7 linked regions of the Macaca fascicularis genome follow. The protein of the gene in region 4 interacts with the protein of the main gene of each other region in a pairwise test. Links are inferred from orthologs where the notes say so. Each region holds a gene or a part of one and is shown on either strand. Other genes may lie near its edges. The genes, in order: KLHL40, PRKAB2, NEK6, TASOR2, LDOC1, ERH and CARD9.

Evidence for each region.
Region 1: the proteins of TASOR2 (region 4) and KLHL40 interact in binary tests that used the Homo sapiens proteins (3 or more experiments, as listed by UniProt). The two-hybrid records come from large-scale screens. The link is inferred for Macaca fascicularis from reciprocal best matches to the Homo sapiens genes TASOR2 and KLHL40.
Region 2: the proteins of TASOR2 (region 4) and PRKAB2 interact in binary tests that used the Homo sapiens proteins (3 or more experiments, as listed by UniProt). The link is inferred for Macaca fascicularis from reciprocal best matches to the Homo sapiens genes TASOR2 and PRKAB2.
Region 3: the proteins of TASOR2 (region 4) and NEK6 interact in binary tests that used the Homo sapiens proteins (3 or more experiments, as listed by UniProt). The link is inferred for Macaca fascicularis from reciprocal best matches to the Homo sapiens genes TASOR2 and NEK6.
Region 5: the proteins of TASOR2 (region 4) and LDOC1 interact in binary tests that used the Homo sapiens proteins (3 or more experiments, as listed by UniProt). The two-hybrid records come from large-scale screens. The link is inferred for Macaca fascicularis from reciprocal best matches to the Homo sapiens genes TASOR2 and LDOC1.
Region 6: the proteins of TASOR2 (region 4) and ERH interact in binary tests that used the Homo sapiens proteins (3 or more experiments, as listed by UniProt). The two-hybrid records come from large-scale screens. The link is inferred for Macaca fascicularis from reciprocal best matches to the Homo sapiens genes TASOR2 and ERH.
Region 7: the proteins of TASOR2 (region 4) and CARD9 interact in binary tests that used the Homo sapiens proteins (3 or more experiments, as listed by UniProt). The two-hybrid records come from large-scale screens. The link is inferred for Macaca fascicularis from reciprocal best matches to the Homo sapiens genes TASOR2 and CARD9.

Annotation. Positions count from the first base shown.
Region 1 is NC_088376.1:105,537,718-105,541,671, forward strand, and holds the start of KLHL40 (kelch-like protein 40), read left to right. Parts: upstream 1-1,154; 5' UTR 1,155-1,236; coding exon 1,237-2,388; intron 2,389-3,756; coding exon 3,757-3,917; intron 3,918-3,954. UniProt on the Homo sapiens protein: Substrate-specific adapter of a BCR (BTB-CUL3-RBX1) E3 ubiquitin ligase complex that acts as a key regulator of skeletal muscle development.
Region 2 is NC_088375.1:113,066,662-113,070,161, forward strand, and holds part of PRKAB2 (5'-AMP-activated protein kinase subunit beta-2), read left to right. Parts: intron 1-2,197; coding exon 2,198-2,364; intron 2,365-3,179; coding exon 3,180-3,273; intron 3,274-3,498; coding exon 3,499-3,500. UniProt on the Homo sapiens protein: Non-catalytic subunit of AMP-activated protein kinase (AMPK), an energy sensor protein kinase that plays a key role in regulating cellular energy metabolism.
Region 3 is NC_088389.1:19,725,348-19,729,274, reverse strand, and holds the end of NEK6 (serine/threonine-protein kinase Nek6), read left to right. Parts: intron 1-1,833; coding exon 1,834-1,944; 3' UTR 1,945-3,427; downstream 3,428-3,927. UniProt on the Homo sapiens protein: Protein kinase which plays an important role in mitotic cell cycle progression. Required for chromosome segregation at metaphase-anaphase transition, robust mitotic spindle formation and cytokinesis.
Region 4 is NC_088383.1:6,689,006-6,691,836, forward strand, and holds the end of TASOR2 (protein TASOR 2), read left to right. Parts: coding exon 1-27; intron 28-1,136; coding exon 1,137-1,251; coding exon of another isoform or gene 1,252-1,255; intron 1,256-1,604; coding exon 1,605-1,608; 3' UTR 1,609-2,331; downstream 2,332-2,831.
Region 5 is NC_088395.1:147,495,054-147,499,175, forward strand, and holds the start of LDOC1 (protein LDOC1), read left to right. Parts: upstream 1-1,322; 5' UTR 1,323-1,431; coding exon 1,432-1,872; 3' UTR 1,873-4,122. UniProt on the Homo sapiens protein: May have an important role in the development and/or progression of some cancers.
Region 6 is NC_088381.1:137,312,893-137,317,174, reverse strand, and holds the start of ERH (enhancer of rudimentary homolog), read left to right. Parts: upstream 1-1,482; coding exon 1,483-1,485; coding exon of another isoform or gene 1,486-1,577; exon of another isoform or gene 1,578-1,709; intron 1,710-4,282. Other genes in the region: SLC39A9 (zinc transporter ZIP9), read right to left, coding at 1,266-1,577. UniProt on the Homo sapiens protein: May have a role in the cell cycle.
Region 7 is NC_088389.1:2,998,057-3,002,037, forward strand, and holds the start of CARD9 (caspase recruitment domain-containing protein 9), read left to right. Parts: upstream 1-1,181; 5' UTR 1,182-1,892; coding exon 1,893-2,244; intron 2,245-2,681; coding exon 2,682-2,819; intron 2,820-2,979; coding exon 2,980-3,284; intron 3,285-3,423; coding exon 3,424-3,603; intron 3,604-3,687; coding exon 3,688-3,831; intron 3,832-3,981. UniProt on the Homo sapiens protein: Adapter protein that plays a key role in innate immune response against fungi by forming signaling complexes downstream of C-type lectin receptors.

The sequences.
Region 1 (3,954 bases), on a different chromosome or scaffold from region 4:
GACTGTCCTGGGCTTCAACCCTGGTCCCTCAGACCATAGACAAGGTGCAGGGGCCCCGTGGCCAGGCAGGCTCAGGTCTGGCCTAATATGCACCAAGAATAGTGAGTATAGACAGCTAAAGTCCTGAAATATTAAACCTGTAGTGTTACTTTTTGAACACTAGAATTCAGAATGTCACTCCCCTACAATGTTAAAACCCTGGGGGTTTAAAAACCTAGAATAGTAGAATCCTAAGAAATTAATTTTCTAGCACATCTGACACCTTAGAAGTGTTAAAACCCTCTAATAGTGTACTTCCAGGACACAGTACCTTGGTGCTTCTGAACCTCCAGCAGAGCTGAACTGAGGCCCTTAGTATCTAACTTTGCCACCTCCTCATTGTGTAGGAAGGGAAACTGAGGCTTAACAGAGCGACATGTCCTGTCCCAGGCCTCATAGGAAAGTGGCAACCTTGTTTACCTAAGGTACTTTCTTGCTTTCTTGCAAGGAGGAGGGGCAGAAAGAGGAAAAGCTCTTCCCATTTTAAAGGTGAGGCAATGCGGGGTGGGGGGTGTCTTATGTATGTAATCTCAGCTACTAGGGAGGCTGAGGCAGAAGGATGGCTTGAGCCCAGGAGTTCAAGACCAGCCTGGGCAATATAGTGAGACCTTGCCTCTTAAAATAAAGGCAGGGCAACAGGGCTGCCAAAAAGTGAACACCATGTCCAAGTTCTGACCAGAAAACCCAAGGACCCTGTATCCGGGGATGGCTGGAATGAGACATATTCCGAGGAGGAAGATGGAGGCACCAGGACAGATGTTCCCAGAAAGCATGAAGGAAGGGAGACCCTGGAAGAGGGGCTCCAATGCTTCCCCGTCTCTGGACTGAGGGTCAGAACTTAGGCCATCAACTCTCCTAGGGGCATCTTCGGACCAAAAAATCCAGAGTCAAGGCCTCTCCGTGCTCCATTTAGAAATGAGGCAGCCAGGCCCTCATCTTTCAGAAGGGCCCAGACACCCTACCTCCGTCCCATAAGCCCCTGGGGCTGAGTCAAGGCTTCTCCGGGAGGGGGCCTCTGCCCAGCTGTCCCCTGTGCGTCATGTGCAGGAGGCCAGGCGGCTCGCCTTACAGGGACCCGGCCACCTCTATATATAGCCCCTAGAAGACAGCTGCGCAGTCTAAGCAAGCCGCAGCAGGAAAGCAGGGGTACAGAGAGGAGCCCCCTTGGCACCGCCACCACACCCTAGGCCACCCATCATGGCGCTGGGCTTGGAGCAGGCGGAGGAGCAGCGGTTGTACCAGCAGACGCTCCTGCAAGACGGTCTCAAGGACATGCTGGACCATGGCAAGTTCCTCGACTGTGTGGTGCGGGCGGGCGAGCGCGAGTTCCCGTGCCATCGCCTGGTGCTGGCCGCCTGCAGCCCCTACTTCCGGGCGCGCTTCCTAGCCGAGCCGGAGCGCGCGGGCGAGCTGCACCTGGAGGAGGTGTCCCCAGACGTGGTGGCCCAGGTGCTGCACTACCTGTACACGTCAGAGATCGCGCTGGACGAGGCGAGCGTGCAGGATTTGTTCGCCGCGGCGCACCGCTTCCAGATCCCTTCCATCTTCACCATCTGCGTGTCCTTCCTGCAGAAGCGCCTGTGCCTCTCCAACTGCCTGGCCGTCTTCCGTCTTGGCCTCCTGCTCGACTGCGCGCGTCTCGCCGTGGCTGCCCGCGACTTCATCTGCGCTCACTTCTCGCTGGTGGCGCGCGACGCTGACTTCCTCGGACTCTCGGCCGATGAGCTCATCGCCATCATCTCTAGTGACGGCCTTAACGTGGAGAAGGAGGAGGCGGTGTTCGAGGCCGTGATGCGGTGGGCTGGCAGCGGCGACGCCGAGGCGCAGGCTGAGCGCCAGCGCGCGCTGCCCACCGTCTTCGAGAGCGTGCGCTGCCGCTTGCTGCCGCGCGCCTTTCTAGAGAGCCGCGTGGAGCGCCACCCTCTCGTGCGTGCCCAGCCCGAGTTGCTGCGCAAGGTGCAGATGGTGAAGGATGCACACGAGGGCCGCATCACCACGCTGCGGAAGAAAAAGAAGGGCAAAGACGCAGCCGGGGTCAAGGAGGCTGATAAGGGCACAGGCGAAGCCAAAGCAGAGGAGGATGAGGAGGCCGAACGTATCCTTCCTGGGATCCTCAATGACACCCTGCGCTTCGGCATGTTCCTGCAGGACCTCATCTTTATGATCAGTGAGGAGGGCGCTGTGGCCTACGATCCAGCAGCCAACGAGTGCTACTGTGCCTCCCTCTCCAACCAGGTCCCCAAGAACCACGTCAGCCTGGTTACCAAGGAGAACCAGGTCTTTGTGGCTGGAGGCCTCTTCTACAACGAAGACAACAAAGAGGACCCCATGAGCGCATACTTCCTGCAGGTGCCTGACCAGCCTTGGGAGCTGCCAGCTAATGCTGGGCTCTGGGCACTGGGGGCAGTCTTGGGGCCCAGGAGGGGCTTGTGTCTACACAAGGAAATGCCACTGGGTCTAGGGTGAGATGTAGACTGGGGCGGTTGACTGATAGCCACCTGCTTGAAGGTTGAAGACAGTCAATAGGCAACTGCCAAAAAGCAGCATAACTCTGGTATCTCAATTTCAGGGGTGAGGTAGCCCCAAGTTGGCGTATGTTGGAGGCCCTGGCCCTGCACAGAGGTTGGGGTGGGGCACAGTGAGGAGGAGCAAGGTCTGTGTAAGGATCCTGGGCAGGGCCTCTTGGTGAAGGCCAGGCCTGGAGCTCGCAGCAGTGTCCCAGACAAAGGAACAATCCTGTCTGGTCCTCCCATTGTACAGATGAGGAAACTGAGGCCCAGAAGGGATCAGCAGAGTGGAGTGCCAGGTCTGAGTTGGGGTGTGACTGTGAGATCTCAAAGGGCAGAGACAGTTTCCTGGAGACTGGCCATATAAGTTTGAGCCTTGCCAGTGGGGTGGGATTTGGAGACGTGAAGGGGAAGATGGTAATGTTTCCAGCCAAGGAACAATAAGCAAGGGATAGAACTGGGGCTTAGCCTGGTGGGCAGCACGCTCAGGGAGGCCTGACCAGCGAGAGAGGTGACAGGCACTTGGTGCCAGGGTTAAGCTCACAGGCCTTACAGTTGCACTGGGGATGAGGGCAGCTTCACCAGCTACTAGCTCAGCAGTGTGGACACATTGCTTATTCTCTCTAGGCCTCTGTTTGTAAGTGGGGATACTGTTCTTCCTGCATGATAAGGTCATTGGAAAGTTAAATGATGCTTATAAAGTGCTCATCAGCACAGTGCTCAGCCCTCAGAAAACTTTCCAAAAAGATGAGCCCCTAGTATTCATATCTTTATTACAAGGCTGTGGAGGTGAACAAGGCCATGGACTGTAGCTTTTACAGGGCGAAAGGCAGGACTGTATTTGGAAGTTTCCTGAACAGTGGGATGGGGTGGAGAGCAGGGGGCAGGCAGGCCTCAGTTGGGAGCCGTTCAGCCTGGGAAAGCAAGGCCATAGCTGGACCTCCTTGCAGAGCTCCCCATCATTTCTGTGCTGTGGTGCCCTACCGCCTGCTATAATGGTGGTTGCCGGGAGCCTGCCTGGGCGTGGGGGACACTCATCTGCTCTCAGCCTGATGGCAGGAGGGGCACTGTCTCTCAGGGTGCCTCCCGGCTGCATTGGCCCTACCTGGGTTCCCGACCTCCTCTGCGACCTGGGGCAGCGGGACTGAGTGGTGCTGGGCTGGGGCTGGGGGAGTAGGGGGCAGTTGCTGACTGGACACCTGGCCTGCAGTTTGACCACCTGGACTCAGAGTGGCTGGGGATGCCACCACTGCCCTCACCCCGCTGCCTCTTTGGCCTGGGAGAGGCTCTCAACTCCATCTACGTGGTCGGTGGCAGAGAGATTAAGGACGGCGAGCGCTGCCTGGACTCGGTCATGTGCTACGACAGGCTGTGAGCGTGGCTGGGGTGGGGCTGAGCACCCTGGGGG
Region 2 (3,500 bases), on a different chromosome or scaffold from region 4:
TCATATCAGAATCTGAGGGTTATTCTTAGGCATATGTCAAATTCTTGATTCTAACGCAGCCAGTTAGGCAAGGGTGCATCGTTCTGATAATATGTAGTTTTCTCTGAAGTCAATTCCTTATGTGAAAGTCCTTTCAATTCTCTTTCTCTATTTACTTTGGATTATCCTGCTGCTGATGTCTTATACTGTAGTTTTGAGGAATATCAAGAGAATGTATGGAGGGGAAACTATGTCAACCATTTTGAAAAGAAAGCCCATATGAATAAGCTAGTCCTTTAAAAAAAAGAAAAAGAAAAAGAAAAACCCCACATTATTCTATTTAGTAATACTTAGGCTTAATACTATACAGTCTTCTTCACCAAAGTCACTTAAACCAGTCTAAAACAGGGGTCAGCAATCTTTCTGTAAAGGGCCAGATAGTAAACAGTTTAGACTTTGTAGACCATACAGTCTCTGCTATAGCTACACAATTCTGCCACTCTAGCATGTAAGCAACTATAGGCAATATAGGTAAGCAAGGCAGGTATTTTGGTTCATACCTCTAGTCTCAGCTTCTCTGGAAACTGAGGTGGGAAGATGGCTTGAGCCCAGGAGTTCAAGGCTGCAGTGAGCTATGATCACACCACTCACTGCATTCCAGCCTGGGTGATAGAGCAAGGTCCTTTCTCAGTCAATCAGTAAATAAAATAATAGGTAAACAAACGGGCAGAGCTATTTTCAAATAAAACTTGATAAAAGCATCTAGCTCACTGGCTGGCTGCCAACTCTTGGTCCAAAGGATAGTAATGAAAAGAAACTGGAGTTACTGTTTTTACAATCCCACAAACCTCATTTAATAAGAGAGCTACTTTTGACAAAGGAAATTGTTTTTTTGATCTCTTGCTCCTTGAGGTTCTAGAATTTTTATTCCTACTCCTGAAATAATTAGTGTAAACCTGGGATAGGGGAGTAAGTAAGATTTCATAGCCACTTCTCAAGTTTTAAGAAATCAGTGATCTGGTTTTTGAATTTTTAATGTTTCTTCTTTTTGTAACTTGTTAGCTGAAATAGAGTTTATGAATTACTTATAAACTAGAATTTTGATATCTCTAACTTCCATTACAACTGGTAATTGAGAACTATTCATATTTGCCTATAAAAGTATATGGCTGACTTAATTATTTTTTACAGAACCATACTTTGTTTTCATTTTTTTTCTCTCTCTTAAAAAAGACTCGGCCGGGCGCAGTGGCTCAAGCCTGTAATCCCAGCACTTTGGGAGGCCGAGGCGGGTGGATCAGGAGGTCAGGAGATCGAGACTATCCTGGCTAACATGGTGAAACCCCGTCTCTACTAAAAATACAAAAAACTAGCCGGGCGAGGTGGCGGGCGCCTGTAGTTCCAGCTACTTGGGAGGCTGAGGCGGGAGAATGGCGTGAACCCGGGAGGCGGAGCTTGCAGTGAGCCGAGATCACGCCACTGCACTCCAGCCTGGGAGACACAGCGAGACTCCGTCTCAAAAAAAAAAAAAGACTCAGTAACAGGCTGGGCACGGTGGCTCACACCTGTAATCTCAGCACTTAGGGAGGCCAAGGTGGGCTGGTCACGAGGTCAGGAGATCGAGACCATCCTGGCTAACACGGTGAAACCCCGTCTCTACTAAAAAATACAAAAAAATTAGCCAGGCGTGGTGGCGGGTGCCTGTAGTCCCAGCTACTCGGGAGGCTGAGGCCTGAGAATGGCGTGAACCCGGGAGGTGGAGCTTGCAGTGAGCTGAGATCACGCCACTGCACTCCAGCCTGGGTGACAGAGCAAGACTCTGTCTCAAAAAATAAAAAATAAAAAAAATAAAAAATAAGAAAGACTCAGAAGCATATCATAATTGCCTGCCTATGAGTTAAACTAGTGGTAGGGAGTTAGTTTTTTTTCTTTTTTTTTTTAAAGGGAGAGTCTAAGGCTGTGAAAGGGTGAGTGATATAGGTAGACTCAAAAGTTAAGCTGTGATTTAGGCAGTGCTTGAGCATAGGCCATTTGACCATTTTTGGTCCTAGATGAGTTCTTTTTCTATAATTTGTTCAAACTCTGATTTAGTTGCTAATTTTGGGGTTTATATCCTTAGCCAAAGCCTAGCACCCTTCTCTACTCTAGGAAGGAGAGTGACCTTTTTAGAATTCTTGGGTCACAGTTTATTCTAGGGATGACCTACTCCTTCTTACAGCTCCCTGGGGACAAAGAGTTTGTATCATGGCAGCAGGATTTGGAGGACTCCGTAAAGCCCACACAGCAGGCCCGGCCCACTGTTATCCGCTGGTCTGAAGGAGGCAAGGAGGTCTTCATCTCTGGGTCCTTCAACAATTGGAGCACCAAGATTCCACTGATTAAGAGGTGACAAGTATCTTGGTTGAATCTAAGGGTCCAGGAATAGAGACCTGATTTCTTTTCTCAGAAGAGAGACCCAGCTGGACTACTTTTCTCCACCTGCTAAGGACTCTCTCTAGAACATATCTCTGTGGCCACTTAGTATATCTGTGGGATTTTTTTTAACCTCATAGTGAGTCAGAGGTCTTTTATCCCTTAGAATTTCATTGCCTCAGAGGGATTCATAATAGCTTTGTGACTACATTCTTTAGGACTGTGTCATACAAGTCCTGTCTCTGCTTGTGGGAAGTCTTCTGTAACTGGCTGAGTCTTGTTGCTCTGACTTCCGCACTAAAGCAAAACATATTTTGAAGTTCTAGGTAGTCATGTTATTCGTTGCTTCCAAAGCAATAATGAATGATTTAACTGGTTGTCAGAATGAGCCTTTGTATGGTAGTTCATTTTCCAGAAAAGGTTCACCAAAACAAAGTACCTTGAGGCACTTCTGTATCCTGAACCTACCTATCTCATTTGCACTGCTGAGGAACTTGTTCTACTGAAGCAAAATAGTTATACTAGGTGAACCATTTGAGGGGATTAATGTTTTTATTATTCTTTTCCAGATATTGGTTAAGAACTAACGTTGTTGGGAGGAGCTGGTAAATACATGTCCAAGATGATACAGAAAAGGAGAATGGGTTTATATGTTGTTTTTTACACCAGGGATACAAGGCTTAGGAATCTGGGAAGTTATTCATATGATACTATGATTGCCATTTGTTTTTTACATTCAGTCTTCTAAAAGAAACTTGGCCTGTCTGCCTTTCTTTTTTCTTCTGTAGCCATAATGACTTTGTTGCCATCCTGGACCTCCCTGAGGGAGAGCACCAATACAAGTTCTTTGTGGATGGACAGTGGGTTCATGATCCATCAGAGGTAAGGCCTTGATCTCCAAGGGTAACCATTGACTTAGCAGTCTCATTTTAGCTGTCATTTCTGTCAAGACTGATGGGCAACTGCCCCTCTACACTGGAGGATTTCTCTCTTGATAAAATGTGGAGGTGCTGAGTACAATCATGTGTAAATTTTAGTAAAAAAGGAAGGTTGGATGGGAGAGAGAGATTTGAAAGATTCAATAATTTTTTGTATTCACTGTTTCAGCC
Region 3 (3,927 bases), on a different chromosome or scaffold from region 4:
CCCAGCCACGGAGCCATCCTGCTTCTTGATGGCGTGTCTCTTTGGTGGTCCATCAGTTAGCTGGGGTGAGGCTCTGGAAGGAGCGCCCTTGCCCCGGCCAAGCTGCACAGGGCAGGTCCTGAGTGCTCCGCCCCTGTGTCCGGGCAGGAGGGTCCTCGAGGGGCGCCTGTGCTGAGCCTGTGCTCGCTGGCGTTGCAGACTCCAGGGCTAGAGGAGTTCGAGTGTCGGGCGCTGCGCAGTGCCCTTCCTCTCCCGGCTCCCAAGTTCTGACCTGCACCTTTGGAGGAAGTGTTTCTGCTCCCAGTGGGAGGAAAAACAAGCTGCATCTCTTTACAAAGTTGCCATTTGCTTTTTCCTTTCTCCTCTTCTGAATGCGGACTTGTGTACCAAGCCGTGCAGCTGGAGCTGATGACCACTCTGCTTTGGCCGTCAGTCTAAAAATGGGAGCTGCCCTCTCTGCTTCAGTTATGAGGCTGAAATGAGCACCGAAGCGCCCATCCCAAGTCAGCCCTTTCCCGGCCACGAGCCCTCACTCCCCGGAGCACTGGCTCTCTCTGGGCCCTACTTTTAAAGTTATATCACCGCTTAGAAATGAAAATAAGACTTTATTATTTTTGTTTCTCTTGAATTCTGAAAATTTCAAACATGCACTTATTGCCAACTGTGCGTTTACATCATAAATTAGTTTGAGTCACAGACACTTCACCTGAATCTGGTTTTCTTGGGCATTTTAACCTGTTAGAGGCCAACCACAGGTACCTCCCCCGAATATTGTAAGGTTCAGAAAACAGCCGTCCATCCATAGGCAACCTCAGACGCCAGGAGTGGCCTAGCAGGCTGCAGGCCCCGTGTCCCCTGGGCTTCTCGGTTGGAAGGCATGCACACAGGTGGGAGGGATACCCTAAGGCTCTGCGGCCCAGGGAGAAAATGCCCCATCAGCTGAGAGGAGCCCTAGTCTACAGGAAGCCCAGGCCCCGCCCCTCAGCCTAAGGAGCCTGCGCAGCAGTAGCCCCCGGGCCTCCAGAACGTCCTGTGGGCCCTCCCCAGACTCCCTGAGTGTGGCCACTGAGACCACCAGAGCCCCCTCTGGTTCAAAACCACCCGGCTTCCTGCTGCTGCGGCCTGCGGGGCTGGCCACCCCTCCAGCAGCAGGTATTTAAATGAAAACCAATGGCTATGAGCCCGTGATGCAGGGTAAGATGTAGGCATTTTAAGGTCATTATTTTAATTACCATTAAAATAATTGGCACTCCGGCTATCAGAAGAATGGAGGCGATCAGAGGTGCAAGGCACCCCTCCCCCACCTCGGGGCGGGAGCAGCCTTCAGTGTCTGTATAATTAAAAGCTCCGTCTTTCATGAGCACAATAAAGGGGCCGGGAGGTGGGCAGACTGCAGCCCTGCTGCATGTTAATGCGTTTATTATGATCAATAAGCCCTTGCCTTGAGTTTTGTCCTCTGGTTTGGGCATCTGCGTGACTGACAGCAGATACACACACACTTTTCCCAGCAGAGAGAGACACACAGTTTGCCCAGTGGTGTGGACAGCTACAAGTTCAAAATTATTTGGAGGTTAACCATTCTTAGAGTCTCAAAGCACAGTCTTTGGGACTAGACAGGCCTAGGAAGGGTACTGGCTAGCCCTTGGGAGCCACGCGGCTGCGCACCCCTTACTTGCCCCAGCCAAACACCGTTCTTCGGCTCTAACGGGGAAAACAGGACTGACTGGTTGCTCTGAGGAGGAAGTGCCTTCATGCAGACTGACTGCAGAGTGCGGAGCCTCAGCAAGGCTGCTTTCTTTTCTTGAGAATAACACACCGTTCTCTCCCCTGCAGTTACGAGAACTGGTCAGCATGTGCATCTACCCTGACCCCGACCAGAGACCTGACATCGGCTACGTGCACCAGGTGGCCAAGCAGATGCACGTCTGGACGTCCAGCACCTGAGCGTGGATGCACCGTGCCTTATCAAAGCCAGCACCATTTGCCTTACTTGAGTCGTCTTCTCTTCGAGTGGCCACCTGGTAGCCTAGAACAGCTAAGACCACAGGGTTCAGCAGGTTCCCCAAAAGGCTGCCCAGCCTTACAGCAGATGCTGAAGGCAGAGCAGCTGAGGGAGGGGCGCTGGCCACACGTCACTGACAGCCAAATTCAAAAGTCCTTTCTTTATACTGTTGGGGACAATCTTAGCTGGGTTAACAAGGGCAGGTGGTTCAGCGAGCCACGGCAGCCCCCTGTATCTGGATTGTAATGTGAATCTTTAGGGTAATTCCTCCAGTGACCTGTCAAGGCTTATGCTAACAGGAGACTCACAGGAGACCGTGTGATTTGTGTAGTGAGCCTTTGAAAATGGTTAGTACCGAGTTCAGTTTAGTTCTTAGTATCTTTTCAATCAAGCTGTGTGCTTAATTTACTCTGTTGTAAAGAGATAAAGTGGAAGTCATTTTTTTCCATGGAGTGGAGATTCTGCTAATATTTTTATCTATGTTTTATAACTTGGTGAGTGACGATGAGAGCCCTGCACCTGCCAGAGCATCACAGGCAAATGGCATCGGGAAGCAGGGGCATCTTCCTGGCAACCAGGCCGGGCCATCTTCTCCTGGACACCTGCTGTGTACCAGGCATTTCATCACCTCCTTGAATGCTGGCGGTTCATTTCATGATCAGTGTTAAGCATTTTCCTCCATGGGAAGAAAGGATGGGATGTAAAAAAGCTAAGGGCTATCCTTTACAAATTCTGGTTCTGCAACTTCCTAGCGTGACTTTGGGCTTGGGCAAGTTTCTTAGCCGTTCTGAGCCTTAGTTTCCTCATCTGTACAATGAGATTAATAGTACCTATCTACCTTCAGGATTGCTGACAGAATCTGAAATAAAATATGCAAGTTAGCTAGTACAAAGTAGATGATCCAAAAATGGTAGCCACTCACCCTTCACAAACTGAAGTCCATGGGCCACGGAAGCCAAGAATTAATGTACACCTGTATCGTGTAGGAAACCAGAAAGGTGTTCCTTATTTCTTGTTCCCAAACAGGATTAACTGTGAAGACTAATTTATAAATGTGAACCTAAGAAAACTCCAGCTCTGAAGGAAATCATTTGAATTTTGTTTTTGTACGTAAAGTTAACCTTCCAGTGGTCTGAGCTGTCGTCACTGACTTGATGACAGTCTGGCCCTCCAGACGAGAGCAGCGCTGGCATCGGGCAGGTGATTCCTGACACCTGCTGCCTGCAGGCATTCGCTGACCGGGCTTTTCCTGGAGGAAACTCCCAGGGCCAGACGGCCGCTGCTTCCGCGCGTGGACTCGGATCTGCTGTGACACCGTCTGCCCGACAGTCTCTCCACAGGCAGCCTTTCCTCTGTACTTTTTCTCCATGGTCGAAATAAAACAGGGTGACTGGGAGTTACTTATAATTCATGAAGATTTTAAAATGGCTTTGGAGATTTTGCTTTTAAACCAGTAGGTCCAAAACTTAAAACAGTGTCTGCAGCACAATTGCTTGAGGAACCTCGAAAAACACAACTTCCCAGGCCCCATTCAGTAATCCCAGGATTTCTTTAAGCTCCCCAAATAATTCTGATACTCATCAGCCAAGGTGCTGCGCTCATGAGGTAATTCCATTGTTCTCCCCGGCCTGCTCCTGGCAGCTGTGACATAGGAGCTGGCCTGAGCAGATTCACCCTGGAATGTTCTCTCCAAGGGAGAATCAAGTCCGTGTCGCCTGCCTAGTGCTTACCACTGAAGGTTTTTCTGATTCCAGACACACTTTGTGCCAATATTCTGCTTGCAGCTCTCTGAGCCCCTACCGTGCCTCCCCAACACTGCCAGCCCCAGCATGCAATGAACCTACTTTGTGCATGCCACCCGCTTTCCACACCATGAGAACAATCTGCCCACCTGGACCCTCTGGAGGGGCACGATCTCAGCCACT
Region 4 (2,831 bases):
AAGCCAGGTTTGCTGTCTTCCTAACAGGTAATTCACAGGCCCATTTTACTCAGTTAATGCCAAAATTGGTCAGCTCTAGGAATGTCCAAGTTGAGCCATTTAGATACCTGACCATTTAGATACCTGACGAATAGTATCAGGTATTTAAATGGCTTGGCATCCCATGGATACCAGAATCACCCAAATCTGCTGATGCTGAAGCCCTTATATAAAATGTAGTATTTACAGGTTAACTCCACAATCCTCCTATATATGTTAATCAGCTCTAGATTACTTACAATACTCAATACAGTGTAAATAGTTATACCTGTATTATTTTTTAAATAAATACTGGGGCTGGGCGCAGTGGCTCACACCTGTAATCCCAGCACTTTGGGAGGCAGGTGGATCACTTGAGGTCAGGAGTAAGAGACCAGCCTAGCCAACATGGTGAAACCCCATCTCTACTAAAAATATAAAAATTAGCCGGGTGTGGTGGTTCATGCCAGTAGTCCCAGGTGCTTGGGAGGCTGAGGCAGGAGAATGGCTTGAACCCCAGAGGTGGAGGTTGCTCTTAAAAAATTTGTGGGGCAGCCAGGCACAATGGCTCACACCTGTAATGCCAGCACTTTGGGAGGCCGAGGCAGGTGGATCACTGAGCCCAGGAATTTGAGGCCAGCTTGGGCAACTTAGCGAGACCTCATCTCTACAAAAATTGGGAGGTGTGGTGATGTGTGCCTATGGCCCCAGCTACTCAGGGGGTTAAGGCAGAAGGATTGCTCGAGCCTGGGAGGTCAAGGCTACAGGCTACAGTGAGCCATCATCACACCACTGTACTCTAGCCTGGGCGGCAGAACAAGACCCTATCTAAAAAAAAAAAAAAAAAAAAAGTGTTCAGAAAAATTTACGTAAAGAACCATAATTATCATTTTTCAGAGATTTTCTTCAGTATTTTCCCCACCACCCCTGATGGAGGCATCTATTCCCAAAGCTTCAAATCTTTTCTTAGCTTGGAACCCAACACCTTTTCTCCCCCTACCTGCCACACGAGGAAGTTCCACAGATTTTTTTAAATAAAAAAACCAGGTCCTGCAATGTAAAAGTGCATTAATTAACCAAAAGTTTTGTGTTTTGTTTTGTTGTTGTTGTTTTTACAGACAAGCCTACTATCCCCAGAGAAGTCTTTGAAAATAGTGGAATCCTTGTTACAGATGTAAATAACTTTATAGAAAACATAGAAAAAGTAGCAGCTCCATTTAGGACTAGCTATTGGTAAGAACACTTTTTAATGTAACTTTCCCATGTGAGTTGGAGCTGTTGATGGCAAATACTGACATTTGTGTCTAAGGGAAACTTGTTTACATATTTCATGCTATAAATTTAAAGTGTTTAGGGGTGGAATTGCTATTTGGCATAAATAGGAATTCCTAAATGAAGAAACCATCTACTAAAATTACCCATTTTATCTGATGTGCATTTTCACTTGCTGTTAACTTGGATTGCCAGTACGGAACATAATGTAACCTTAGAGTGCATAGGAGTTTTCCCCATTAGAGCATCTCACTTTTGAAATATACTTGTTCATATTATTTTAAGAAGTTCTTATCAATTTTGTGTTTCTTCAGGTGACTCAACTACAGCCTGCCTGGATATGGATGATGCCAATAAAAAATTATTATTTTCCCTTTGGAAAACTTGTGAACATGTGAATACACATGTGAACAGTCTTATATTTGAAAAATCAATGTTCTACAACCTGGGAAGTTTTCATTTTCTGTATTTTGCTGAAATATGTCACAGTGGCATTGTAGTTGTCCGTTATCTTTGGGTTGCAGTGCTAGATACTGTTTTAAATTATTTTCATTTTAAACAAGATGCCTTCTAAGCTATTGAGCTTAATATTAAAAATAATTTTACAACATGTTTACTTAGTTGGAGCAAAAATAAGTCTATTTTAACAAATAGCTTTGTTTTTGCATGCTAATATCAGAAAGGCCCATGATGCACATTATGCTCTGTTTTAAAGGTTTTACCATCCTTGTAAAAACTATAATCTTAAATGGTTTTATTTGCTGTTATACAAACAACACTACATAAACTTAAAACATTTTTTCCTAAATGGTACAAATTTATAAACTATCATTTTTCACTTATGGTATCTGTAAATACTACACTACAAAAATCAGCTTTCTGAGAAAGAAAGAATCATTTATTTATGATATTGAAAATTTCTACAGTAAAAACTCAAAACCACGCAAAAAACGTTTGTAAGATACATGGTATCTATTTGGAGCAAAGGCTTTTTTGTAACTAATTTGTTTCCTTTTTTTAAATAAAGAGAACTAAAAATCATCTCTTTCTGCAATGATTTTTATAGCAGAAATTGACTCATCTGGAGTGCTCTAGCAATTTTTAGGCCACTTAGCAGAACAGTAAGCTTCCACAGGAAACCTCCACTTCTGTCCTTTGGGCCTGGCCTGTTCTGTTTCTGGGTTCTTTCCCTCCCAAAGTCAAGTACACTGAGTAACAGGTTAAAGAATGGCAATTTCACCTGGCTTTTACAGGGAAGCTTCTCTCAGAAGTCATTAAGTCGGTTTTTATTATTCCTAAACAAAAGAGCTTTATTTTCTCCTGAGTAGGTTTTAGAGTTTTAATTGTTGACAGTTTTTCAGTTACTAATAGAACCGCAATCATTTCCTTTCATTTTTCCAAGGACAGGAATCTATTAAGGGAACCATTAACTATTCAGTACAGTGAATTACTTCCAGATTACTAAGGAAAAGGAAAGTGAGCAGGTATAAGCTGCCCAACACCTATCTGCCTGAAATATGCACCTTTCAGGTTGGACCTAG
Region 5 (4,122 bases), on a different chromosome or scaffold from region 4:
CGCTTGGTAACCAAGGCTGGAGGAGTGCGCTGGCGCTATCTCGGCTCACTGCCACCTCCGCCTCCCGGGTTCAAGCGATTCTCCTGCCTTAGCCTCCTGAGTAGCTGGAACTACAGGCACCTGCCACCACTCCCCGCTAATATTTTGTATTTTTAGTAGAGACAGGGTTTCACCCTGTTAGCCAGGATGATCTCGATCTCCTGACTCGTGATCCGCCCTCCTTGGCCACCCAAAGTGCTAGGATTACAGGCGTGAGCCACCGCGCCCGGCCCTAATTTTTGTTTTAAAGGATTCCTGTGGCTACTCTATGGAGAATATACTATAGGAAGAAAAGAGTGAAAGCTAAGTGATTAGTTGCAGCAGTCTGGGTGAGAAAGGCTGGGGATCAGGGTGGCAGTGGTAGAAATGACAAGTCATGACTGAATTGGCAATATATTTGAAAGCAGAGCCAACAATTCCTGTCGGCTCTAGGATCAGGGATCCGTTTAAAGTAGAAAAACAAAATTATTTAAAAACACAAACATCTTAACAGTTCATTTTTAAGTACAGAATAAAACCCAGTGGCCAAAGGCACTAACAGCAGGACAAGAAATAGAGAATCAAAGATATGTGGGATGCCTGCAATTGATTATTGGATGCTCATTTTGCAAAACTTCTTTATATCCTGCTACTTAGGTTTGTTTTTTTTTGTTTGTTTGTTTTAAGGGAGTATGCCGTATTATTCCCCTACTAAAGAAGTCACTGTTTAAATACTGCCTTTTTCATGAAAGGCAGGAACCCCTGAAGGTCTTCATGATCCTAAAAGGAAGTGTGAGTCCCACAGTGCAGCCAGCAGTGTCAATACTTCTCTGAGTGAGATTTAAACAAGAAAGAAAATGTGTTAATAAAACATCACGCCAAGAGAATCTAGTGGCCACAGACCCACGAAGGAACAACTGAGTTGTGAGAGTTGCCTAGGTAGAAGGGTGGCTAATCCTTTCAGTTTGAACAAATTTGCCTTCTCTGAGACCAAACTCAGCGCTCGCCAGGTCCTCTGCTAACGCAGGCCCCACAACCAGGAGCTAGGGGAGCCTACCCCAGCCTTTAACTGCCCGCCTAGAGACCTACCACAAGCCGGTGGTTCAGCGACCCAGTGCATCCTTTTCCTGGCCACGCCCTCTTTGTCTAAACCCTTCCCATCCCGGCCACGCCCCCACGCAGCCGCGGCCCCCAGTCTGGCCACGCCCCTCCCGCGCCGCGCCGGCGCACCATCCGTCCGAATGGCCTCGTGGGCGGAGCTTGCGTAGCCTCCCGGACCCCGGCGCGCACCGCCCCCCGCCCCCAGCCCCTGGCCATCGAGCGTCTCCGTGGACACGCACTTCCTGCGAGGCCTCCGTGCGCACCTTGGCCGAGCCGAACCGAGCCGAGCCCTGTCCTTCCAGGCTGTTCGCAATGGTGGATGAGCTGGTGCTGCTGCTGCACGCGCTCCTGATGCGGCACCGCGCCCTGACCATCGAGAACAGCCAGCTCATGGAACAGCTGCGGCTGCTGGTGTGCGAGAGGGCCAGCCTGCTGCGCCAGGTACGTCCGCCGAGCTGCCCGGTGCCCTTCCCCGAAACGTTTAATGGCGAGAGCTCCCGGCTCCCCGAGTTTATCGTGCAGACAGCGTCTTACATGCTCGTGAACGAGAACCGATTCTGCAACGACGCCATGAAGGTGGCATTCCTAATCAGTCTCCTCACCGGGGAAGCCGAGGAGTGGGTGGTGCCCTACATCGAGATGGATAGCCCCATCCTAGGTGATTACCGAGCCTTCCTCGATGAGATGAAACAGTGCTTTGGCTGGGATGACGACGAAGACGACGACGACGAGGACGAAGAGGATAATTACTAGGCCCTCGGGCCTCGGGGGGAGGGCCCTGCACGCCGTCACCCCCTCCCCGCAGCCCTCACCCCGCCAGGAGCCACTGCTCTCCCCCTTGCCCTCCGGTCCCCTTCCCTACCCGCGCCCGTCTGCTCTTTCTTCATTTCTCCGTAGTGCTTGTCTTTGTTCCAGGAATAGTGCTCCAGTTACCTGCTGCTGGGGTTGGGGCTGGAGCCTCACTCACTCGGAAGTGCTTGGAAGTGTCATCTACCCTGGCCATCCCGGGGATCCCTCCCCTGCTAATCTGAACTGTGTCCTGAACCCCAGCTATTGGCCAGGCCCCTGTTACAAACTGCGCAGACCACCCATAGCCCTGCTGCTGCCACCTGCCCTGCTGCCAGGCTTACATCTGCCCAGAGAACTATGCTGCCACTTCACATCCACTCACCACATCCCACCTACAGACTACCGCCTTTCGAGATCAGGACCAACCTGGAAAATGCCAGAGTTGGCTCTGCCTCTTCGGACATTGATTTGGACAGCTCACCAACCCCTGAAGAGGCCAATCATTCAGCCTGGTTAGTTTTCTACCTACTCCGAGTGTCCTCCCCTGCCATACCAGATTGCTGCAGGGGCGCGGTGTGCCTGACAGCCAAATTGTTGATATTTCTTTTTTCCTATGCACTGGTTTTACACAGCTGTCATTTTTCTTTCAAAATTGCAGCAGTCCCACAGATGTATGCATTTGGACAAATAGTACTAAAAACAAAACAAACAAGCACTCAGCCCAGCTCCTCAATACTACCTGGAAAAAGCATTGGCATTATTTTCAATAAATATCAAGCACTAAAAAACGAAATGACTGTCTTTTAATAGTTAAGTGCTATCACTGACCTCTAGAACTGTCACTGTGACTACCGTTATTCCCATGGAAATCAGGGAATACAACCAATCCTAGGAATCCCTGCTGTCAACTCCAGGCTGCTGGGGACAGCTACCTCAGGGCTTTGTCAGGGTTCTGATGCTTCCTTCACCAACGCATTTCTTAAAGCCCTGGCAAAGGGTGTGTTCTCTGGGTCCTCCAGGGTGGCATGGGTAAGGGTTGGCTGAGCAGATGGCAAAGAGGGCAGTATTAATAATTAGACCATAACAACAGGCATAAACCAGGACATATATATGTATTGCTCCTAATTCTCTGAGCTTTTGGATTCCTTAATATTGTGCCAGGGAAGTTCTGCCCCTTAATCCTTATTGCCTATATGCAGCTGTTGAGTTCAGGCTCCAGAGAGCCAACATAGTACATTGTCACTTTCAAACTCCAAATAGCCAACATGTCACTTACAGGTGCTCTAGCTAACATTAAGTCCCAGATCCTGGGCAAGTGCATCCATAAAGATATACCCTGATCTTAACAAACATTTCATCCTCCTTGGGCAGACATCCTTAGAATTTCCACTCATAGATGTGTCCCAGATTCCTCCCTATGGAAATTAGCAAGATGCTTGGTTATCTCTTAAATCAGACTTTGTACTGCTATCTGGGGGCTATGCTGAGATCTCTGGGCCTGGAGGGTTCAGAGCAGTGAAGGGGGTGGCTGCTGAGAAGAAACTGCATACCTGTGTGAGGCCATTGCCCCAGGTTAAGTCATTGAAATGTTTAATGCAGAGCAGCTTGGTTGGGGATTTGACAGGACTACCTCTTAGAAAGGTTTAGGAGGATGTGAGGGGTTCAGAGTTCTCATTTATATCTGTCCAGATGTCCTCCCTCATTGTACCATGTCTGGAGCCAACTTCACTTTATAACCTTTAATTAATTTAGATAACACATTTCCTTACTGTTTAAGGCCTTTTGAGGCAAGATATTTCATTTGTACTGGTAAACCTCAGTGTTGATTAAATGAGATATGGGGCTTCATATTAATCACCTGATAGGTGTGGATTATATGAGATCATACCCATGCAGCATTTAGAACTTTCCCTGCTACATGGTGAGCACTCAGTAAACCATGGGCTGTTACTCCTGGGCCTGGGGACAGAATTCTCAGGAAGCAAGTCTCTGGCTCTGAGCGTGGCTTTAGTAGGAAAATGTCAGCGTAAAGAGGAGCAGAGCAGGTTCAGCGATAATGGAAATGAGAGCATGATAAGACCCCATTTACTTTTTGAAGTCTTATATGAAGCAAGAAACAAAGCTGTTTACGTGGTGAACAGGCAAAGTTCAGGGTAGGAATTATATCTCACACCTAGGATAGCTGTTTCTGGAGGGTGGGGACAGGGGTGAGTA
Region 6 (4,282 bases), on a different chromosome or scaffold from region 4:
TCTAGGGAATTGCTTATGGAATACTCCAGGATCTTCCGTGGAAAAATCTATCCACCCTAAGTTAAGAATTCCACTGCTGAATATGAGGTTTGTTTCTATTATTAAGTGTTACGTATCTTTTTAAAAAGATAGTCTTTCTTAATGAGGCCTTCAGCTTTGAGAGTTAACTAGGGAAGCAGCTTCCCTTTGCAACTAAAACTACTACCTCACAGCCATCCCGACAGCTGACAGAAAGTTGAGAATTTCTTACCTCTGAGAAATTAACAGCCAAGGGAATGATTCCAGCCACGTAACATCCCACCAACATAGCCAAAGACAGTAGGCTAATGGAGATGAAATCATCCATTCTGCCCTTCTTTATTCACCCACCACCACTAGACAACAAATTTCCAGTGGCTTTAAAAGGTGCTTAGGTTCTTTAAACAGGTGTGGTGGTTCCAAGAGAGTGGGCTTTCCAGTTCTTTAGGCCTCCTCACCAGCAGATGTGTTCACGAGGCACCTTCCTCTTGAACGTACCCGGAAACAGACCCTTGTTGCTGATATTAGCACCAGAGAAAGCTTACAGCAATCTAGGGTCCCAGGCTCTGGGTTCTGAGATGCCAGTCATTAGATTCTCGTGGGTTAACAGAGATGGGAAAAGTCAATGGGGAAAATGTGCGAATGATCGATTTCTTCGATTGTCGGAATGAGAGTGGCACAACGTCTTACGCGGCGGCGGGTGACTCAAGCGAACCTGTTCGTTCCCTAGGCGCCCCTGTCTCCAAGAGGCGGCCCCGAAGGTGATCCGCCCCCCACGGCAGGAAACCAGCCCACCAGTCCCAGCAAACTGTCCTCTGAGCCTGGGATGCGGAAAGGAGTCCTGCAGGTCTCTAACGATGGGTCCTAGGGGTTCAGCAGCAAAGTTGACACAAAGCTGTCTCTGCCCTATACCCGGTGCTGCCCATGGTACTGCACTCGGCCGGGCCTTGACCCGGAGTCGCCGATACTACAGCTGCCATGGCCGCCAAGTGGCACCTCTTCATTCCATCCACTTCCGGATTGTCTAACCGCCCCCTCCTTTACAAGGGCACTTCCGGGTTACAACCGACCTCTGGCCCGCGATACTTACGTTGCCGCCATTTTTGAGTAGGGCTAATTAAAGATGTCTGATGTCACTGTCTACACCGGTGCTCACTTGAGCCGTATGTTTAATAACGAAAGTACGGAAGACAGCGTCTTGAAACAAAATAATTCTTCCTAAAGTTCGGAAACTTTCCCTTACTTACCTTTTTGCCTTTATCGAAGATGGCTGAAACAGAGTCAGTATCTGCTCTAGCTGCCGGAAGTGACTGTGCCTCTATGATCCAAAAGGCTCTTTTGCGTTGAATTTTCGACGACTTCCGGCGGCTCCTCTCGCGGGGATTGGCTGTTAGCGGCGTTGTGGCTAAGCTCGTGTAACGGCGGCGGTGTCGGCAGCAGCTGCAGCGAAGAGAGTTTGGCGCGATGGTGAGAAAGGCCCCCGCGGCTACCCGAGTCCGAGTCCCCGGCCTCCAGAGCGACCCCAGCCCTATACATTTTCCTCTCCCCACGAGCCCCATGCAGCGCGGCGTGATGCTCCCCGCCACTCCAGTTGGTGGATGGATCCTTCTTCCCGCCGCAGAGACGCCAGGCCTGACTCTAGGCCCCGGAGCGCCAGTCCGCCCTGCGGTTGCGCGCCCGCCTGCTCGCTCGGGTCAGGCGTGCCTTGGACCTGAGGATGAGCTCTCTCCCGATTGTTACTCGGTAGAGGGAGGCATAGGAACGGTGGTTTTTCTGGTTTGTTTTTTGAGACAGTCTCACTGTATCGCCCAGGCTGGAGTACAGTGGTGTGATCTCGGCTCACTGCAACCTCCGCTTCCTGGGTTCAAGCAATTCTCCTGCCTCAGCTTCCCAAGCTGGGATTACAGGCGCCCACCACCTCGCCCGGCTAATTTTTGTATTTTAGTAGAGATGGAGTTTCATCATGTTGGCCAGGCTGGTCTCGAACTCCTGACCTCAAGCAGTCTACCCGCCTCGGCCTCCCAAAGTGCTGGGATTACAGGCGTGAGCCACCGGGCCCGGCCGGGAATGGTGCTTTTTCCCTCCAAATGCTCTAGCCTGCTGTAGGAACAATGGGCCAGGGTTGTGTAACCTTTTCTGGAAGCTGACAGATCCAGCTTACTATATCCAGCATGTGGGCCAGGAGAGGTCGTATTTACTTTGTAGTGTTTTCTCAGCTTTCGTTTTCCTGTGCTCTGCCTTTTTTTTTTTTTTTTTTTTTTTTTTCCTATTTCTGAGACCTCTAGGTAGTTCATGTGGCGCGTCCCTCAGCCCTCGATCCTGTTCTTATCTGTATTTATATCCTCTTGGGGCTGGAGACTGAAAAGTAGGCTCAGCTCAGAGACCAGCTCTATTAGAATCCAACCAGGATGATCAGTAAGCTCCAATTCGAAGAAAGTGACCAAAACTGGCTTGAGAGGTGGTATAATCTGTAAAGAATTTGAGCAGGAAAGCAATGCCATTTTAAAATGACCACATTTTTTAAAATGTATCATGTTACGTTCTTAGTGGTTTTTAATCCCTGTTTTTGGGCAGTAAGTATTGAAAATAGTAAACTTTGCCCAGTGTTCATTTTAAGACTAGATATAAAAAGCAACATGCTGTATAGCTTATTCCATTGTTACGCTTTCAAATTAGTCCTTTAATTTGCATTAGAATTGGAATACAATTATAGTAGCAGTTGAGATAGCTAGTGTATAGGGGCAAGCTCTGTTGCAAGAATGCACGTGGTTTCTACAAAATTATTTTTTCTTAACAAATGACTCATTGAAACTTTTTGAGTAGCTAGCTTACAAAGACTTCTGTGTAACAAATAATCTAATGCTTTCTGTGGCTTTTAAATCGATTTAACAAAGGCTTTGACTGTTCAGGTTATAGGTGAGAGTTAATCCTTCGTCTCTTGTCACCAAGTTCCGTTTTTATCTCACACCCTCTCAAACTTTTAGTCAAAGTGATTTAATTATTGATGGGGAGAGAAGAGTATAACCCTTTGTTTTGCGTGTCATGTTAAATGTACTATTTTTCCATTGTTTATTCAGCTATTTCAGCTCCAATTTGATGGTTAAAAATTCTGATCATTTTGGCCGGGCGCAGTGGCTCACGCCTGTAATCCCAGCACTTTGGGAGGCCGAGGTGGGCAGATCACCTGAGGTCAGGAGTTCGAGACCAGCCTGACCAACATGGAGAAACCCTGTCTCTACTAAAAAGACAAAATTAGCGAGCGTGATGGCATATGCCTGTAATCCCGGGTATTGGGAGGCTGAAGCAGAAGATTCTCTTGAACCCGGGAAGCAGAGGTTGTGGTGAGCTGAGATCGCGCCATTGCACTCCAGCCTGGGCAACAAGAACTCTGTCTCAAAAAAAAAAAAAAAAAAATTATTTTCATTCCAAAACAGTTAGGGTTCCTGTTGTTAGGAAATTTTTGTTTTCTGGTTTTTGGCTGAAAAATACTAGTACAGCAGAAGAGAAGGAAAAAAGTGAATAGTTTGATTTGGGACTGGGTTTACAGTGGAGTTGCATCATACTTGCATTTAATTAATCAACCTTACACGGGTAGCAAAAAATTGGATGGGTCATATTTTCAACAGACCAGTGAATTCTCAGCTGGATGAGATTTTTTGCTCCCTAAGGGACATTTGTCACAAAGAATCAGCCAGCTCAAAATGTAATAGAGCCCAGGTTGAGAAACACTGAGATTGACTTGTTAGTGACTGAACACTAACAAAAACATGTTCCCCAGTGAGCATGAAGTGGAAGACACGTCTGTCTGCTATTTTTCGGGCATATTTCACATTTCTCATAGTGTGATAACCTAACATTCTGTGTGATTCTAATACCTGGTTTTGGTATGAGAAAGCCCAGTAAGGCAAGTCATCTACTAGGTGAATAGTTCAATGGATTTTTAAGGGTAATTCTTATGATGGTTTATATTGCTAATTTATCTACTCCTTTAATGTTAAGTCTAACCCCTGGATAAAATGTGACTTTGCTCTTATGCTAAGGTTGGCAAAAAAAATTGAACCCATGCTTGTGATTATTACACTATTTCCCCTTTTGTTTCCTTTCATCAGCCCATCTGAGTTTTTATTAATGACTTAAGAGCATTAAAGATGGAAAGTGACCACTGGAGACAGAAAACCTAAGCAGGTTTATAATTTAGTTGGGAAGAAAAGATACAAAAGAAAAAGGAAGACAAGGTAGCTTATACTGATAACTTGTAGGCAGT
Region 7 (3,981 bases), on a different chromosome or scaffold from region 4:
CCTGGGCTCCATAAGGTGGGCTGCAGCCCTTTCATGACCAAGGCGTGTGCTGGGCATGCTGTGTGGCTGTGTGCCCCCCTGCACATGCCCTGCCCCGCTGTCCTGAGATGCCGGCGAGGGCAAGGGTGTCCGCACAGGGCAGAGCATGCCCTCCTGAAGAAGCCTCCAGAAACCTATGACCAGGTCAAAGCGGCTGGGTGCGGTCTGGCCTCGTCCAGCCTCCTGGGGGTCTCTGCTGTCTCTTCTACTTGCCAGGTGCCCGGGCTGGGCCTCTGGGGCATTCTCAGGACCCCTGGCCCCCGGCCAGGCTGGGAGGGCTGAGAGCAGTTTTCCCGTGGAGGGCAGAGGACTTCCACTTCCGTCTGCCTCTCGGGGCCTCCTGGGCTGCACGAATCAGAAGGCAGGCCACCAGGGACTGTCCCCCTGTGGGAGGACTGGCGGGACTGTGGAGTTAAGCCATCAGGAAGTGCACAGGCGTCCGGCACGCTCCTCCCTCCCTGCAGCCCCAGGCAGCATCTCCCCGAGGCTCCACGTCCCAGGCTCCTGGTGCGTCTGCCGTGCAGGTGGCTCCTTGGAAGACCCTCAGGTGGGTGGGTCTGGTACTTTTCTGAAAAGTGACCAAGAAGGTCGGCGCCGGCTTCGTTCAGAATCCTGGCGCTGATCCCCGCAGAGCAGCATGAGGCTTCCCACAGGCAGCCAGGCAGCCTCCGCCGCGCTGCCCCATCCCTTTCATGGCCACTGGGCGGAGACATGTTCATTTCAGTGGCATTACGGTGGCAGATGGGACCCTGCATTTCAGGCTGGGGAGGCAGGAAAGGGGCCCAGTGTTCCCAGGACTGTCCGCTGTGTGGCCGGTGTTTCTATTCAGCCCCTTGTCTGTCAAAACTGTCCTGAATGGGGTGACAAAGTACAGTGGGAAGTTGAGAAATTCTTCAAAAGACCAAGACCAAACACTTCAAAAGACCAAGTGTCTCCAGGAGTAGTGACCCAGCTCCTTTAGGCAGGAAACCAGCATTTCCCAGTGGGGCTGGAGGCTGAGGACCGGGGACCTGCGTGGGAGGCAGGACCATGTGGCTGTTCCCAGCCTTGCCCCAGTCCCAGAGGGAGTGGCTTTCAGCGGCTGAGGCTTCCACCGCGCTGGCAGAAAGGGACAGCAGTGGCTGGTCCCAACATGGGTAGTTCTCTTGTTTCAGCCAGTGGGATGGGGGTCGGGCCTCATCGGGGGCAGGAGAAGAGTCCAGAGATTGACGGGTGCCCGTCACCTAAGAACCTGGAGAAAACAGCACAGCAGCACTCCTGGCCAGCCAAGGGCAACACCGACAGCCCCTCCCAGCTTGCGGGGCCGGCGGGGAGTGACAGAGGCACGCTCCTGTGGGCAGCTCTTCCCGGCCGGTGCAGCGACCCTGGCAGCTGGGGCAGGGCTGGGTGGCCACTCTTGCATCATCAACAGCCGGCCATGGAGGAGGGAGGGCACAGCGCGGGATGTGAGCAGGCGTCGGTCAGGGGAATGGGGAAGTTCCGCCAGAACCGGCTCCCCCAGCTGCTGCCCTAGTGGGAGGGTCATTGGCCAACCTGCTCTCACCCAGCTTGGGCTGGCCGTAGTGCCAGGCAGGTGCCCACAGCTGCCCACCCGTGGAGGTGGCTGCCCCTGTAGGCTCCAGGGCGTGGTGGGAGTGTCCAGGAGGCGGAGGCCAGAGGCGAGTCATGCCGTGGAGGCCGTTCCTCTCTCAGACCCCATCTGTGTCTCCCCCGCTGCATATCTGGGTGACACGGATGGCCAAGGGGCAGGAGCAGGGGCTGGGAAAGGCTGTGGAGGGGCCCTCGGCTGGTCTGGCGGGGAGCGGGTCACTGTCTCTGCCGCCTCCCTGGGGGATCCAGCATGGGGATGGGACATGGAGCCGGGTACCTCTCCTGGATGCCCCTGGGCTGACCCCCTCGACAGCCCTGACGAGAGCCCAGGCCCAGCGTCTGAGAAGGAGCGGGAGCCGGGCCTGGGTGGGGGCAGGAGCCGGCGTCACTCTCAGCGGCTGCCCCACACCCCCCAGCCTGCCTGCGAGGCCATGTCGGACTACGAGAACGACGATGAGTGCTGGAGCGTCCTGGAGGGCTTCCGGGTGATGCTCACGTCGGTCATCGACCCCTCGCGCATCACGCCCTACCTGCGGCAGTGCAAGGTCCTGAACCCCGACGATGAGGAGCAGGTGCTCAGTGACCCCAACTTGGTCATCCGCAAACGGAAAGTGGGTCAGTGCTGCCCCGCAGGCCCCAGGCCCCAAACCCAACCAAGGAGCCCGCTTGGAGGTGGCTGCACGCTCTGCCACCCTGACCCTCGACCCCAGGAGAGCCCCGCCTGGCTTTGCCCCTGGCGTCCCAGTGAGGCCCAACCTCAACCCTGGCACATGGCCACCCTATCCCCCAGCCTCTCCTGCCAGCTCGGTGCTGCCAAGAGGGGCAGTGGGACTCCCACCACAACGGGGGCTCCTGAGACAGCCAAGGGATGGGTGGACAGCACTTTGTCCCCAGCCTAGTACCAAGACCCACAGGGTGCCTCATCCACGACCCAAACCACAGCACACCTCATCTACATCCCAGCCTCCATCTGTCCCTGCCCCCGGGCCCACCCACCCCAGCCCTCTGCCTCGCCTGTGCCCCGCCCCCAGTTAGGCCCCTCTGGCCCGCAGGCGTGCTCTTGGACATCCTGCAGCGGACCGGCCACAAGGGCTACGTGGCCTTCCTCGAGAGCCTGGAACTCTATTACCCACAGCTGTACAAGAAGGTCACGGGCAAGGAGCCGGCCCGTGTCTTCTCCATGATCATCGGTGAGTGACGGGGAAGGCGGTGGTGGGGGCGGGCAGTGGTGCTGGGTCCTCTGCCCAGGCCCCATCCCTAGGAGCCCTGAGCTCCTGCCACAGCGCAGGGCGTGATAGAGCTGGGCCACCGGGGAACACAGGCACCGTCTAACGCTGGCGCGGCCCACAGACGCGTCCGGGGAGTCAGGCCTGACTCAGCTGCTGATGACCGAGGTCATGAAGCTGCAGAAGAAGGTGCAGGACCTGACCGCGCTGCTGAGCTCCAAGGATGACTTCATCAAGGAGCTGCGGGTGAAGGACAGCCTGCTGCGCAAGCACCAGGAGCGGGTGCAGAGGCTCAAGGAGGAGTGCGAGGCCGGCAGCCGTGAGCTCAAGCGCTGCAAGGAGGAGAACTACGACCTGGCCATGCGCCTGGCACGCCAGAGCGAGGAGAAGGGTGCCGCGCTCATGCGGAACCGTGACCTGCAGCTGGAGGTGCGCCCACTGCCCCCGGGGAACCAGGCCCCCCTTGCCTGGCCTGGTGGGGTCTGCAGGCTGGGGCGGTCGGGGGTGGCCCCGTGGGTCCGTTGTCACCACCTGGAGGGGACAGCCGGGCTCACCGGACCTTCCGCAGATTGACCGGCTCAAGCACAGCCTCATGAAGGCCGAGGACGACTGCAAGGTGGAGCGCAAGCACACGCTGAAGCTGAGGCACGCCATGGAGCAGAGGCCCAGCCAGGAGCTGCTGTGGGAGCTGCAGCAGCAGAAGGCCCTGCTCCAGGCCCGGGTGCAGGAGCTGGAGGCCTCCGTCCAGGTGGGGCCGCAGGCAGGGCGGGTGCAGCCCGGGCAGGACAGCCGGGGCCTTCCCAGCCAGGCCATTGCCTTTTGCCCCCTTCAGGAGGGGAAGCTGGACAGGAGCAGCCCCTACATCCAGGTACTGGAAGAGGACTGGCGGCAGGCACTGCGGGACCACCAGGAGCAGGCCAACACCATCTTCTCCCTGCGCAAGGACCTCCGCCAGGGCGAGGCCCGACGCCTCCGGGTAGGAGGGCAGGCAGGGCGACGCAGCTCCTGGGGGCCAAGCCACGCTGGGTGGGCTGAGCTCCGCCCACTCCGTGCCTGGAAGGTGGGGCCTGGGGACTCCTATGGCCTCCCCCCACATCCCAACTGGCCTGACCACATGCTCCTGAGC